Caenorhabditis elegans: one gene and its partners. The protein of the gene in region 1 interacts with the protein of each later gene in a pairwise test. Each region holds a gene or a part of one and is shown in the gene's direction. Other genes may lie near its edges.

Region 1 (4,894 bases):
AAGTCTCTTTTTTACTCTCACATTTACCAATTCTAGACTTGCATACTGTTCGATTGCACACCTCCCCCCTCTTTTGATCTTGTGTTGGAGGCGCCCCCCGCGCGTTCTCTCCCCTCTCTTCTTTTCCGTCTCTCACTCTCTCGTCGCAACGGACCACCATTTTTTGATTCCGTTTCCCTCATTAGTCACTCTCTCTGTTTGTTTTCATTTCAATTTTTACTTTTTAAAGGTTTTGTTTTTATTTTCTGTTTTCTGTTTTCCGACAAACTTTTGACATATTATTTATGAATTGACTGTGCGGTTCTTTTTTAGGTTACGGTAGTTGGTACGGTAGTGTTTTATCAGTAGTGGATACAAAATTTGGAGAAAACCATATTTTCATATTTTATCCTTGAAACCCCTTAAATTTTCGAGCTTACTCCGATACTTTTGATTCTTCCGGAAAATTTAAAAACTACTGAAAATTTTTACATTTAAGTCGCACATTTTACTCTGAAACATTCTGAAATTTTATCATTATATATATATATATGATTTATCTAGTTGAACGTACAGTAATATCATACCTCCAGTAACTATTCATTCTGCTATTTTGTTCGCCATTCCACTCTTCTCTATTCTTCCGTCCCATTCGATTCTGATTCATATTTCGGTGTCAGGGTATCAACACCACCACCACAAATATTTGCAGGCGAAAGTTTTTGCTTTTTTTTTGTTCGCCTCTGCGACCTACTAATATCAAAATCTCCTCATCAAACAGGCCAGCTCGTTGTGCCACTTTTCAGTTAGTCATTTGGTATACAAATAAAAACAAAACCGATAAGATGCAGGGCCTCGAATTACTCGGGTTCTCAGTCAGTTAGTGTCCGTCGGCGGAAATGTGAAATTTTCTAAAATTAGAGAAGATTGGGTTTCGATAATTTTTTTTGTCGGGTTGTGGAAAATTGATTCGTCATGGGTAAAATCGTAGTAAAAGATCTCGAGATATGAAAAAATTGGAATTTTTCTATAAATAAAATGGATTACGGTATAGTACGGTAGAAAAACTACGTTTTCTGATGAAGGTCTGTGAAAATGATTTTCAACAAAATTAGGACCGTATAGGACCGAGCTATTGGATAACTTTTTTCCAGCTTATACAGTAAGAAGTCCAGCAAAGTTTTGATATTTGATGTAATCTCGTTCTGAAAGTAGATAGAATTAAAGTCCACTAGCCACACGTTGCACCTCTGTTTTGGCTTTCACAAATAGTATTATATAACCGTATAAATAAATAATGACATCAGTGTGGACGCTGCTCCAATCCGTAAATCTCGTCCCTCCCCTCACTCCCGCGCGCCTTGTGTTTCCCTCCGGAGAGCAAAACCCAGCGCGGAAACCAAGACGTGTTGAAAAACTAATAGTATGTCTTGAAGAAGCTAAAGCACATGACCATATTTGCTCCATTTCTGTGGGAAGAAGAAGCGATGGATTCAGAGACTCGCGGTTTGGTTGTGTCACGCCTACTTCGGACTGTGCGCACGGCCCGATCGCCGCCCGGTCTCTTGCCTCGCGTCGCTCCCTTCGCCTATCGTTCTCTTTTCGACTGTATGCTGTTTCGCGTCCTCCTCGCTACGACCATATAGACTCAATAGTGGCGACGGACGCGCAAAACACGGCTCTCGGCTCAAAATTTTTCCCCCTCCCCCGCTGAGCTCAACTCGGGATTGTTCGCCACTTTTCGACTGATTATCTCTCGATCAACACCCATACGACCAACAACAACAACAATAGAAAAAAAACAGCTACCAACATCAAAATATTTCACTTTATTCCGTAACTCTACATATTCACGATGGTGCCCTCGCCGGCTCTTGTCGGAACGCCATCAGTGTTTCCACATCATCAGTCTACGTCGTTTTTTCAAGAAACTGCTAGCTTCTTCAATCTAGACTGGGAGCGATTATGGTAAGAATTTTGGGATCATTTTTAAAATTGGAGGTTTTAGAAATTATATTTTTGAAATGGTCAGAACATTTCTCAATTCAAAATTTGAGACTCATTTTTTTCAAGTTCCCAATTGTGCTTAATCTACTAGTACTCAACTATCTTTCTAATAGCCTTCCAACTTTAACTGATCGAACTGTACCTCCTCTTGTGCTTTAGAAACTTTGTATTATTGGTCGTTTTAATCCTCTACGTCAAATTTAATACATTTTTCCTATTTCTGTGCAAAGACTTTGATTCAAGTAATCTATAGGGTGCTTTCCATCAATGTTTGATTTGAGTTTGATGTTTATTTACCAGTTTTAATTTGATCAACTGAACTTGGCCTACTATCCATCAATAGATTAGCCTTTTCTCTTGCCAATTAATTTTTGACTGGCTTTTAATCAAAAATCATTGTTCCAACTCTTCTCTTCATTCTTTTTTTCCTCTAGACAAAGCTCTTCACCCGTTTCGGTCCGTGCGCGGCGCCATTTTTGTTCTTCTCCTCCGATTGGTCATCGACAGTTTCCAAAAATATCCTGGCGCGGCGCCACGGAAAACCGGCGTTTTCCTGTATGCATACAGGAGGAGTGGGGGGGGGGACGAATCTAATTTTGGAACACTAGGTACACAAGCATGATGGCATTCCGTTGGCCGTGTGTCCGAAACCTTGACCAAACCAGGAAATTGTGTGATTGGCATGTTGGCAACGAGTTTTCCCGAGATTGAGAATGGAACAAGGAACTGATCTTCGAGCGCGCGCACAAAGTTAGGGACGACAACGTTCTGTTTGCTCGTGTTGAACTCACCGTGGTTGGTTTTTTTCCCTTGCAGTTTACTGCAGGGGCTAGCTGCTCCGAACGTGACAACACGAGCAAATATACGGGACCGAGGGGTCAGTCAGCGATAAATAGGTCAAGGCTTTGTGTAAATCCTCGAAACGTGGTGGTGGGGTTTGATAACAGTTTGATGAGTCGTGTACAGTTGGTTCGAGTTGAGATGCAGGGGAAGGTGTAAGCAATATTGCTATGTATTATAAATTGAAAGAAAAGGTCGATCCGTTCTTCATGCGCTATGCACTGCGGATCTGGGACTGCCCGGTGGTGCTCCCGCTGGGCTATAATTTAAGCCACGTCCTAGCCGGGGACTGTGGCCGATAATCCAGTTGTGGATTACTCCAATAGTGGCTGGATGTACCTAGGGGTGAGGCCGGACTTGAACTCGTGGCCTCCAGATTGCTTGCGTACCGAAGGAACTATCCTGCCCCTCTGGCTAATTTGAAAAACGCTAACAGCATAAGACATCGCAAACTTTGATCAATGTCGGCTGCTTTTACTATTTCGTTTTTCTATACTGGAAATAAGGTACAAACTGGCAAAGTAATAGTTTTTGCACATTGGCTTTGTAGAATAATAAGACAAGTTTCACTGAGACCTGAACTTTTCATTTTCCGGAGTTTTGATTTTTTGGAAATCGGAATAGTGTTAACAAGTTGTAAAATTTGCCACATTTTCAAAAGAAATTCCTCTAGGTTTAGATTTTATCCTGTTTTCTTTGAGCTACCATATACTATCGTGTCCTCAGGAACTCGTGAAACTTTGTACAAACCCTTTTCTCTGTGCGCTTCAGAAGGTAAAACTTCATAAATTTTCATTTTGTACTCAGATAGATGTAGAAATCGCGGCAAGACCCACTCCAAAAACATCATCGTTCCAAACTATGATAGCTTAAATTTTACCATCAATAGGACGGTATTCATCACAATTGCGACTGCTAACTCGCATCATCAATTGTATCAGCATTGGCATGCAACACACAGGAAAACATGTTTTGTATTAAAGCGGTCGGGTAACCTGTATACATCTCGTTTTCTCTGCCACCCTCCACTCTCTCACCATTTCCACGCGACGTCTTCTACGTGTGGGATATACTACAGAAGAACACAGGGAGAGAGAGAGATAGAGGAGGGAACACCGCCACCACTACGCAACAGTGCACAGGAAGGTCCACACACACCACACCTATCCTCTTCTTCCTTATTTATATCCTTTTTATTGATTGCGTGCGTGTTTGGCAATATCTGACCCCGACCTTTTTTCTTCGCCCTTTTTGTCCTCAGATCGCTTGATCTCACCTCAAAACTGACCGCCGCCATCCGTTCCTGTCAATTACACGTCTCGATGACTACTGACGACTTTTTTAATATTACAATTGGATTTGGTTACGAAAGCCTTTCTTTAGTTTGGAGTTTTTAGGTAATTGAGAAATGATTTTAAATAGGAAGTTTAGCTGAAAGTTTTTAAGTTTAGTTACAAAATTTAAAAAAAAAAAAATTTTTTCACTTGAAGTTTTGGCAACATCAAATTAACGAAATTTTATACATACAATTTGTAGAAAAAAAACATTTGTTTTTTTTGACGGCTTAAATTATGAGTGACTGAGTAATCGTAACTTTTTGACTAAAAATTTGAAAAAAAAAACATTAAAAAAGTTTTACTGTGATATTTGGCCATTTTAGCACAGTAGGTGTAGTCTCCAAAAAATTCACATAAATGTTTTTTTTTGTATTTTTCAATTTTGGTTGATTTAAAATTGAACTGAATATGAAATTTAGAAATTTGTGTAGATCTACAATGTTGAATTCAAAATTATAAACTAGAACAGTTTTTTTTCTGAAAAAATAACAATTATCATTTTTTCCGACAGTTATGATTATTTTTGTTTTAAACAATGTAGAAAGTTTTGAGTGTATTCTGAATAATTTTCAGTGCATCATTTTCAGTCAAACTTTATGTTTTTTCTCAAATCTCAATTAATATTAAAAGTATTCCCCATCCACGTGTCCCTTACAAGAGAACTGTTTTGTTATCTCGCACTATGCAGAGGCGGTGGCTAGTATTAAAACTGATAAGGAAAGCATTCAAAG
Region 2 (4,276 bases), on another chromosome or scaffold:
TGTTTCGTGGATCGGCAAAACCAGTAGACTCGGGTTTCTGTGGTGCATTGATTCCAGCAGCAGCGAAGGTTTCCAGAATCGGGCGGAGCTCAGTTTCCGTGTTTGGTTTGAATGTTGTTCTGAGAAATAAATTGCAAAATTAGGACGATAGTGACAAATTTCAAATACCTGTCGGTCTCCAAATGAATCGCCAAATTTGGAATGAAAAGAACTGGCTTTTTCACGTCGATCAGCTTGTGTTGAAGTTTCTCTCCATTCTTGACAATAACCAATCCAGCCACCGACAAGTCACGGTCAAACCAGGTTCTCCAGATTCCACCTCCGTAAGTTGATACACCAACTTGAAGGAATTTATCAGACTTTTGGTGGGAAATTGGTTTGACACGGAGGCATGGACTGTCAGTGTGTCCCACAACAATCGAGAATCCACTCCCTGGCTTGTAAGATCCTCCAACAGCGAATGCAAGAATTGCAGAGCGGTTCTTGGTGACAAAGTATTTGCTGGTTGGCTGAATGTCCCAGTGACCCGATTCTGGAAGCTCTGTGAAACCGGCTTGTAGAAGGCGATCCTTCACTTCTTGGGTGGCTGCAATTGATATACTTTTGAATATAAAAATAAATAATAAATATTACCATGAAATGGAGTAACTGCTTTATTCAGATAGTTGATGAACTCTTGTGCAGCTTTGCGGATCTCCGGAGCACTTGGTTTCAGAGCAGCGGCCATCTAAATTAAATAAACTTATTTATGAAAAGACAAAGAAAGAATAGTGAAAACCTTTTTGGGTTGATAGCTGGTATTGGGCTCAATTTCATGTTTTGGATAGCAGCCGCACACTACTTTCAATTTTTCGGAAATACGATTTTTTCGAAACGACTTCTTTGTCATGATTCAAACTCAAAATGAATTGAGCCCAATATTTTACTACCATCGGAGTGAAAATGAAAAAAGATAAGACAAAATGTTGCATAAAATTTGAATCTGGAATGATTTTCTATAAGCGATAAACGGTTAGTTTCTACTGGGCGAAAGTTCGAGAGAAGAATATGTGGTGCTGATTATCAAAAATGCGTTATCAGTGATAGTTATCAAGGTTTCTAATAGAAAGAATCAAAAATGAAGGAAAAGATAATGGAGAAGACATGAGAAAAGCGAAAAGATCAGGAATTATTTGAGGAAAGTTAGTGAAAAAAAAATTGACAGGAAAAAAACGTCGGAAAATTTTAGAAATCGAAAAGAAGAAAAGAACAATTTTTAACGTAGAGTAGTACTGTATTCAAGGCGCAACGCTTAAATCATTTTTTGGGTCCTGGAAAGAAAACTACAATAGCTGGAAATGTTCTGAACTTTGAATATAATTATAAATTTTATATATAAAATTTTGTTCATCTTGATTTTTCAGAGCGATATATTGTTTATAAATAGAATGATTTTTACTACAAATTTTTAAATTTTTATGAATAAAAAATAAATTAAACATATAATAACATTTTCATAACTCAACAGAATGAAATATGTTTATTTCACTCCAGAAAACATTTACTTTTCTCTTGGAAGTCGTTTAATGAAATTAATACTAAAACTGCTCGATTATTATGTTTAATGCTCTTTAAATGTGTCACCAAATGGCCTAGGTTTTCAACCTAGTCCTTGCCAACATTGTGATGAGACCTTTTTTATTTAATTAATCAAATGACTCATATATTTTTCGAATAAATCAAGAATTTTCTAGAAAAATGACAGAACCGTCGGCTAGCGAAGAAGTGTCTGCCGGAGTGAATGCAGAGGTAAGAGTGTTGCATTTTAATCGATAATTCAAAGACCCTTAAATTTCAGGAGCCGCCAATACCGTCCAAAAAGATTTCGCAAGTCTCACCGAATCCAACGCTTCAATGCGAAATGTGCCAGAATTATGAAGTGAATTTGACTGCATTACAGGTGAGAATCATGGGAACACGGCAAATATGCAAATGATTTTTGTTTGTTTTGCAGGAAAACGAACGAAAGTTAAAGGAAGAAGTGAAGGCGGCAATGGAGTTGAACGAAAGATATCAATTGGATTTGAGCAATGAACGAGACTATCGAAAAGAATTGGAAAAGAAAATGAACGAATTATCGACTAATTGTTTGAATCAGGTTAACGAGGCGGCAAAGGCAAATGCCAAGTCGGAGCAGCGGCTGGACGAGCTCAGTGCGAAGGTATTTTAAATAAATAAAAAGAATAACTTTTAAAAAAGCTTAATTTCAGCACGACAAATCGATAGAAGTATTCACTGATCAATTGAATTTGGCTCGTGACAAACTGCAACAAGCCGACGATGACTTTGTTACATTAGGAAAAAAGTACAAAAAGCTTCTCGGGTCCACACGAAAATCAGCACAAGAACTTCGGTCCGAGAAAATCGATATGCCAGCTGATCTTGATCAATTACAATTTATTTGTCTCAAGAATAGGGAAGAATTGATAGAAACTCGAGCTGCAAAAGAGCACACCGAGCAGCAGCTGCAGGATGAGATCACCGTCCTGCGAGCTCAGATTCTAGAAGAAAGAGCGCACAGAGAAGATCAGGAAGTGACATTTACTGCAGAGATCAGCAGATTGCAGTCGGAATTAGGAAAGATCAACACTCGAATGGTTGTTGCATCGGAAACAATTGCAGATCAAGATTCGAATATCAGACAAATTAGAGATCTTCAAACAACTGTCGGTGAACTTGAGACGCAGGTTCAGCAGGTTCAAAATGAGAGAGCCGCTGTTGAACAGACGGCACAGAACTACAAGCAACGGTGCACAAGTCTTCAACAAGAACTCGACACATCTGAAGTTGTGCAGAGAGATTTTGTGAAATTATCTCAAAGCCTCCAAATTCAATTGGAGAAGATTCGACAGTCGGAACAAGAAGTACGATGGCAATGGGATGATGATGTAGATCAATGCTCAAATTGTGATACATCGTTTGCTAGAGTTAAAGTTAAACCTCAGTAAGTTTTTGAAAATGGAAGTTTGAATTTCTGATAAAAAATTACAAGAAAATTATTTTCTTCATTTTCAAAAATAAATTTTACACTTTTCCAATTAAAATATGTCAAACAGAAGATTTTAAAAAGAAAAAAAATATATAGTGATTATGAATCAAGCGTTCGGTACCCTTTCTTAAAACGACCTAAAATATTTTTAAAAAAAGGCTTCGAAAAATAAAAAATCACGCATAGTTTTCCAGAAATAGCAGATTTTTATAAGGAAAAATTTTTAAAAAAGTGCGAAAAATAAGAGATAGCACTATTTTACTTTTTCATGGAATATTTCAGTCACTTTTATTTTTCAAATCTTTTAGCTGTCTTCATTGTGGTCGGATATTCTGCATGAACTGCCTGAAAGACACCGTTCCAAGTGGACCAAATCATCGACCAGCCAATGTGTGCAAAGTATGTCACACACTGCTCAATCGGGATACAAAACCATTCTTTGCAACGCAGGATAAGTAATAATTCATCTGGAATGCTTATTCTGTCGCTGATTATCCACAACTCGCCCTTCCAATTTCACTTTCGCCACCTTTTCCCGATTTTATATGTGCATCATCCGTGTGCTAGAATGTCTAGTCTTTTAATTCTTGTACAATGCTTAATCTATTCTATATACGTACATATATACCAGAAATTGATCTAAAATTGTGCATTAAAATTTGTTTTATTGACTTTTATGAAATTAGAATTATTTAATTAGAATCAATGGAAAAGTTTTCGATCACAGTTTCGTCGTTGCTTGATGTCAAGATGCTGATGGATTCCAAATTTCCTGGCTTGTCAATATGCCACGTGGAATCTCCGGTTTTGTCCATAATTTCAGATCTATTCAGAAGCAGGTCAATTGAATTGGAAGTAGTGCAAGTTATGGTCAGGGTACTGTAGTTGACAGAATCGAAAGTGAATAGTCTGGAAAAAATTATAATGAGTAAATTTTTGTATGTTCATAACTTACAGAAATTTTCGATTTCTGCCAAAAAGAGTGAGTCCTGTAGAGTCAATTACTTGGTGGCAGAAGGAGCTTAAAATTTGAGGCTGAAGCTGCACTGTGCTCAGGCGGTAGTGCCAATTTTGATCCATTCCAGTACAGAAGTTGGTGCCAAAGTTTATAGAAGTTAGAGGACGAGTTCGGATGTGTGGAAGAAGTTTGGACCAGAAGCTGGAATTAAATTAAAATTTCAATAAAACTTAAATTGTGGAATTTTTCTGAAAAAAATCCTAATGTAGAATTTTCTAGTTGGAAATAAA
Region 3 (3,280 bases), on another chromosome or scaffold:
TTCATTTTCAGAATTATCCAGATTTCCATTTTCACATATATTTTTATTCTCCAAATTCTTTTCGATTCCTTCTGGTTCTTTAAAATCTCCATCTCCATATGCAATTTCTTCTATTTCTCCATCCTCAACTTCTTTCTTATTCTCGGCTTTTGGCAGAACTGTAGTGATGCTAATAGCCAGCTTTGTCTCTTTTTTCACTAAAGGGGTGCTGAAATCCGCGCCAAGCGGTAGATCATCGGCCTCATCTTTCCTTGGCGGCTCCTTAAATTCTTTCGGTTTGCCATTTTCGGTACTTGGCGCTTGCGGGATTAATCTGTAGTAATTTTTATTAGTTTAAATACTTATTTCGAATTTATTTTCGAACTTACTCATTTTTTGGCGCTTTTTCGAGATTTTTCTTCTCAATTTTTTCTTCCCTATGCTTTAAACGGCTCCTGCTTCTGCTTTTCCTACTCTTTCTGCTTCTTCTCCTCTCCTGACTACGCCCCCGGCTTCTGCTCCGGCTCCGGCTTCGACTTCTTGAACTAGACCAAGTTTTGGATCTTCTTCGAACTTTCTTGCTTTTCTTCGACTTGTGCCTGTGATGCTTCTTCGGCCTTTTCCCAACAAAATCTGTCTGATCGCATCCGGCTAGTTTATCCACTGAGAATGGCTGAAAATAATGATAATTAATTATAATTATATAATTCGATTTGTAAATTTTCCAGTACAATTTAAATTAATTTACTTTTTCCGACGATTTCACATCATTTAAAAGATCTTTAATGATGTCTTCACTGCAAGTTTTCGGGGTAATTCCCTCGCCATCGACCATTCTTGGAACTTTTTGACCTGAAAAAAGGTGATTTTTTGTTTAAAAAAAAGTTTTTCAAATTGCAAAACAAGAGGATACAAACGACGCTCCGTTTTTACGTTTTTACATCGTCATGGCCGTGGCCGCTGCGCGTTTTGTTTTCCTGCTGCACCGATACCACCACCTCGCCCCCTCCCAATAGTTTATTTTTGAAAAAGGCCCGTGACCACGATGTCTTTGTGAGCTGTCTAATCGATTCATTCCCTCAGTGAAAACAAATCTTTTTATTGCGAAATTTCCTCCAAATTTTATTCCTCAACACTCATTTGTCGCTTTCTTTGCGGACATTGTGTGGGAATTACTAATTACATACGTCTTCACATGACCCTTCAATATTGACCAGCTATCCTCAAACCAACTGAGCACACACACACAGCGTGACATCTGTTCATTTCTTTTTTTTTTTCATTTTTTGCGGTCATGAAACTTGGAAAATTCAATTTAAAAGTCTCATTTACTTTTAACTTTCGATTAAAATTGAAAAGAAAATTTAAAAAACAGTAAAACAAAACAAATAAAATTACAGTTTTTAAACAATTTAAAAAAATGAAAGGCTTTTGTACTTTTCGCTCCGGGACCCATCAGTGTCAAAAACTCAATGCACCTTTAATCTCACTTTATTTTAATTGTTTTTCTTCGATTTCGCGTTACTTTTCTATAGTTTTCCTATTTTCAGAGCTTTTCTCTCACTCACTCCAATAAAATGGCAAAAACTTACGACTACTTGTTTAAGGTGAGAACTTTTGCATGCCAAGATGTCAAGAAAACATCGTTTTACAGCTCTTGCTTATTGGAGACAGTGGAGTCGGCAAGACGTGCGTACTGTTCCGGTTCTCAGATGATTCGTTCAATAACTCGTTCATTTCAACAATTGGAATCGACTTCAAAATCCGTACGATTGAGCTCGATGGGAAGAAAATCAAACTTCAAATTTGGTGAGCTAGTTTTTATTAAATCCGATTTTATAAATATTTTTTTTCAGGGACACAGCCGGGCAGGAGAGATTCAGAACTATCACAACGGCTTATTACCGCGGTGCTATGGCATGTTTTATCAAAATTTATTTCACAAAATTTCAAATTTTAATTAATTTATCTTTCAGGGAATCATTCTGGTGTACGATATCACCAACGAGCGATCATTTGAAAACATCAAAAACTGGATTCGCAATATAGAAGAGCATGCGGCTTCGGATGTCGAGAGGATGATCATCGGCAACAAATGTGATATTGAAGAACGCCGTGAAGTGTCGCGGGACCGTGGAGAGCAGCTCGCAATCGAGTACGGCACGAAATTCCTGGAAACGTCGGCGAAGGCCAATCTGAATATTGATGAAGCTTTCTTCACACTGGCTCGTGATATCAAGAGCAAGATGGAGCAGAACGAGATGCGTGCCGGTGGATCAGTTTCGAATACGGGTCGTGTGAACGTCGGTGGATCGGGGACACAGAAGAAGAGCTTCTTCAGCAACTGGAGCTGCAATTTGCTTTAAATTTATTGCTCTCTCGCCATGTTCTGCCCTTTTCGAAGTTGATTGTGATTCAATTCAATTCAACTTCAATAGTGTACCATATCTCTTTTCATATTTTCTTTCCGTTTGAATTTTCTGTTCCAAAAACTCCTCCTTCGCACATTTTTGTATGCAGTACGGTTATAATTCTAAAAATAACCTTTTTTCTTCTCTCTTCTCTTCTGACCATAATAACCAACACTTGCTTTGTTTTTACCATTTTCGTCCCGTCTATTTCTCTGTGTCCGCTCTCTCTCGCATATTCAATTCACCCCCCTACACCCAGCATTCTGATGAGATTTCTTTTCAGGATTTCAGATTTATTTTTTTCGCGAATGTATGAACCAAATTGCATGTTTTCCCAAGTTTTTTGAATTTTCTGAATTTTGATCGAATATTGGGGTTTTGTCGGTCATGCAAATTAAAATTAATTTTTTCTAGAAGTTTTTTACTGAGCTTCTATTTTGCAGAGTCAGATTCATATACCAGCGACATTGAATAGTAGAAAGTACCACAATTTTGAATAGTTAAACACGAAAAACGTTGCAAGTATTACGGAGACGCTAAGTTCTGAGAATGCGTATTGCACAGCATATCTGGCGCGCAAAATATCTCGTAGCGAAAACTACAGTAATTATTTAAATGCCTTCTGAAGTGTCGATTTACGGGCTGGTCTTTCGATACGATTTTTTTTTAAATTGTGACAACAATATTCGATTTTCCTCCAATTTTTCGTTTAAAAAAACTAAAGAAAATTGAATATCGTTGTCACAATTCGAACAAAAATTTGTTTCGAAAATAGAGCCCGTAAATCGACCTACAGTAGTCATTTAAAGAATTACTGTAGTTTTCGCTACGAGATATTTTGCGCGTCAAATATGTTGCGCAATACGCATTCTCAGAATTAAGATATCTGA

Evidence for each region. Proteins that work in one complex are often made in the same cells at the same time.
Region 2: the proteins of eat-17 (region 1) and rabn-5 interact in a two-hybrid assay, tested with the Caenorhabditis elegans proteins (one study listed by BioGRID).
Region 3: the proteins of eat-17 (region 1) and rab-8 interact in a two-hybrid assay, tested with the Caenorhabditis elegans proteins (one study listed by BioGRID).

Annotation. Positions count from the first base shown.
Region 1 is NC_003284.9:16,413,781-16,418,674, reverse strand, and holds the start of eat-17 (Rab GTPase-activating protein eat-17), read left to right. Parts: upstream 1-1,834; coding exon 1,835-1,947; intron 1,948-4,894. UniProt on the Caenorhabditis elegans protein: Rab GTPase activating protein for the small GTPase rab-6.2. Required for grinder formation, which is the feeding organ that breaks down food.
Region 2 is NC_003281.10:5,862,820-5,867,095, forward strand, and holds rabn-5 (FYVE-type domain-containing protein), read left to right. Parts: upstream 1-1,733; 5' UTR 1,734-1,737; coding exon 1,738-1,788; intron 1,789-1,837; coding exon 1,838-1,939; intron 1,940-1,993; coding exon 1,994-2,200; intron 2,201-2,249; coding exon 2,250-2,983; intron 2,984-3,336; coding exon 3,337-3,487; 3' UTR 3,488-3,720; downstream 3,721-4,276. Other genes in the region: dnpp-1 (Aspartyl aminopeptidase), read right to left, coding at 1-119, 169-586, 634-727, 779-889; eng-1 (mannosyl-glycoprotein endo-beta-N-acetylglucosaminidase), read right to left, coding at 3,721-3,937, 3,984-4,187.
Region 3 is NC_003279.8:3,682,336-3,685,615, reverse strand, and holds rab-8 (Ras-related protein Rab-8A), read left to right. Parts: upstream 1-1,529; 5' UTR 1,530-1,556; coding exon 1,557-1,586; intron 1,587-1,633; coding exon 1,634-1,788; intron 1,789-1,835; coding exon 1,836-1,896; intron 1,897-1,955; coding exon 1,956-2,345; 3' UTR 2,346-2,726; downstream 2,727-3,280. Other genes in the region: D1037.1 (Protein SON), read right to left, coding at 1-313, 369-652, 728-814.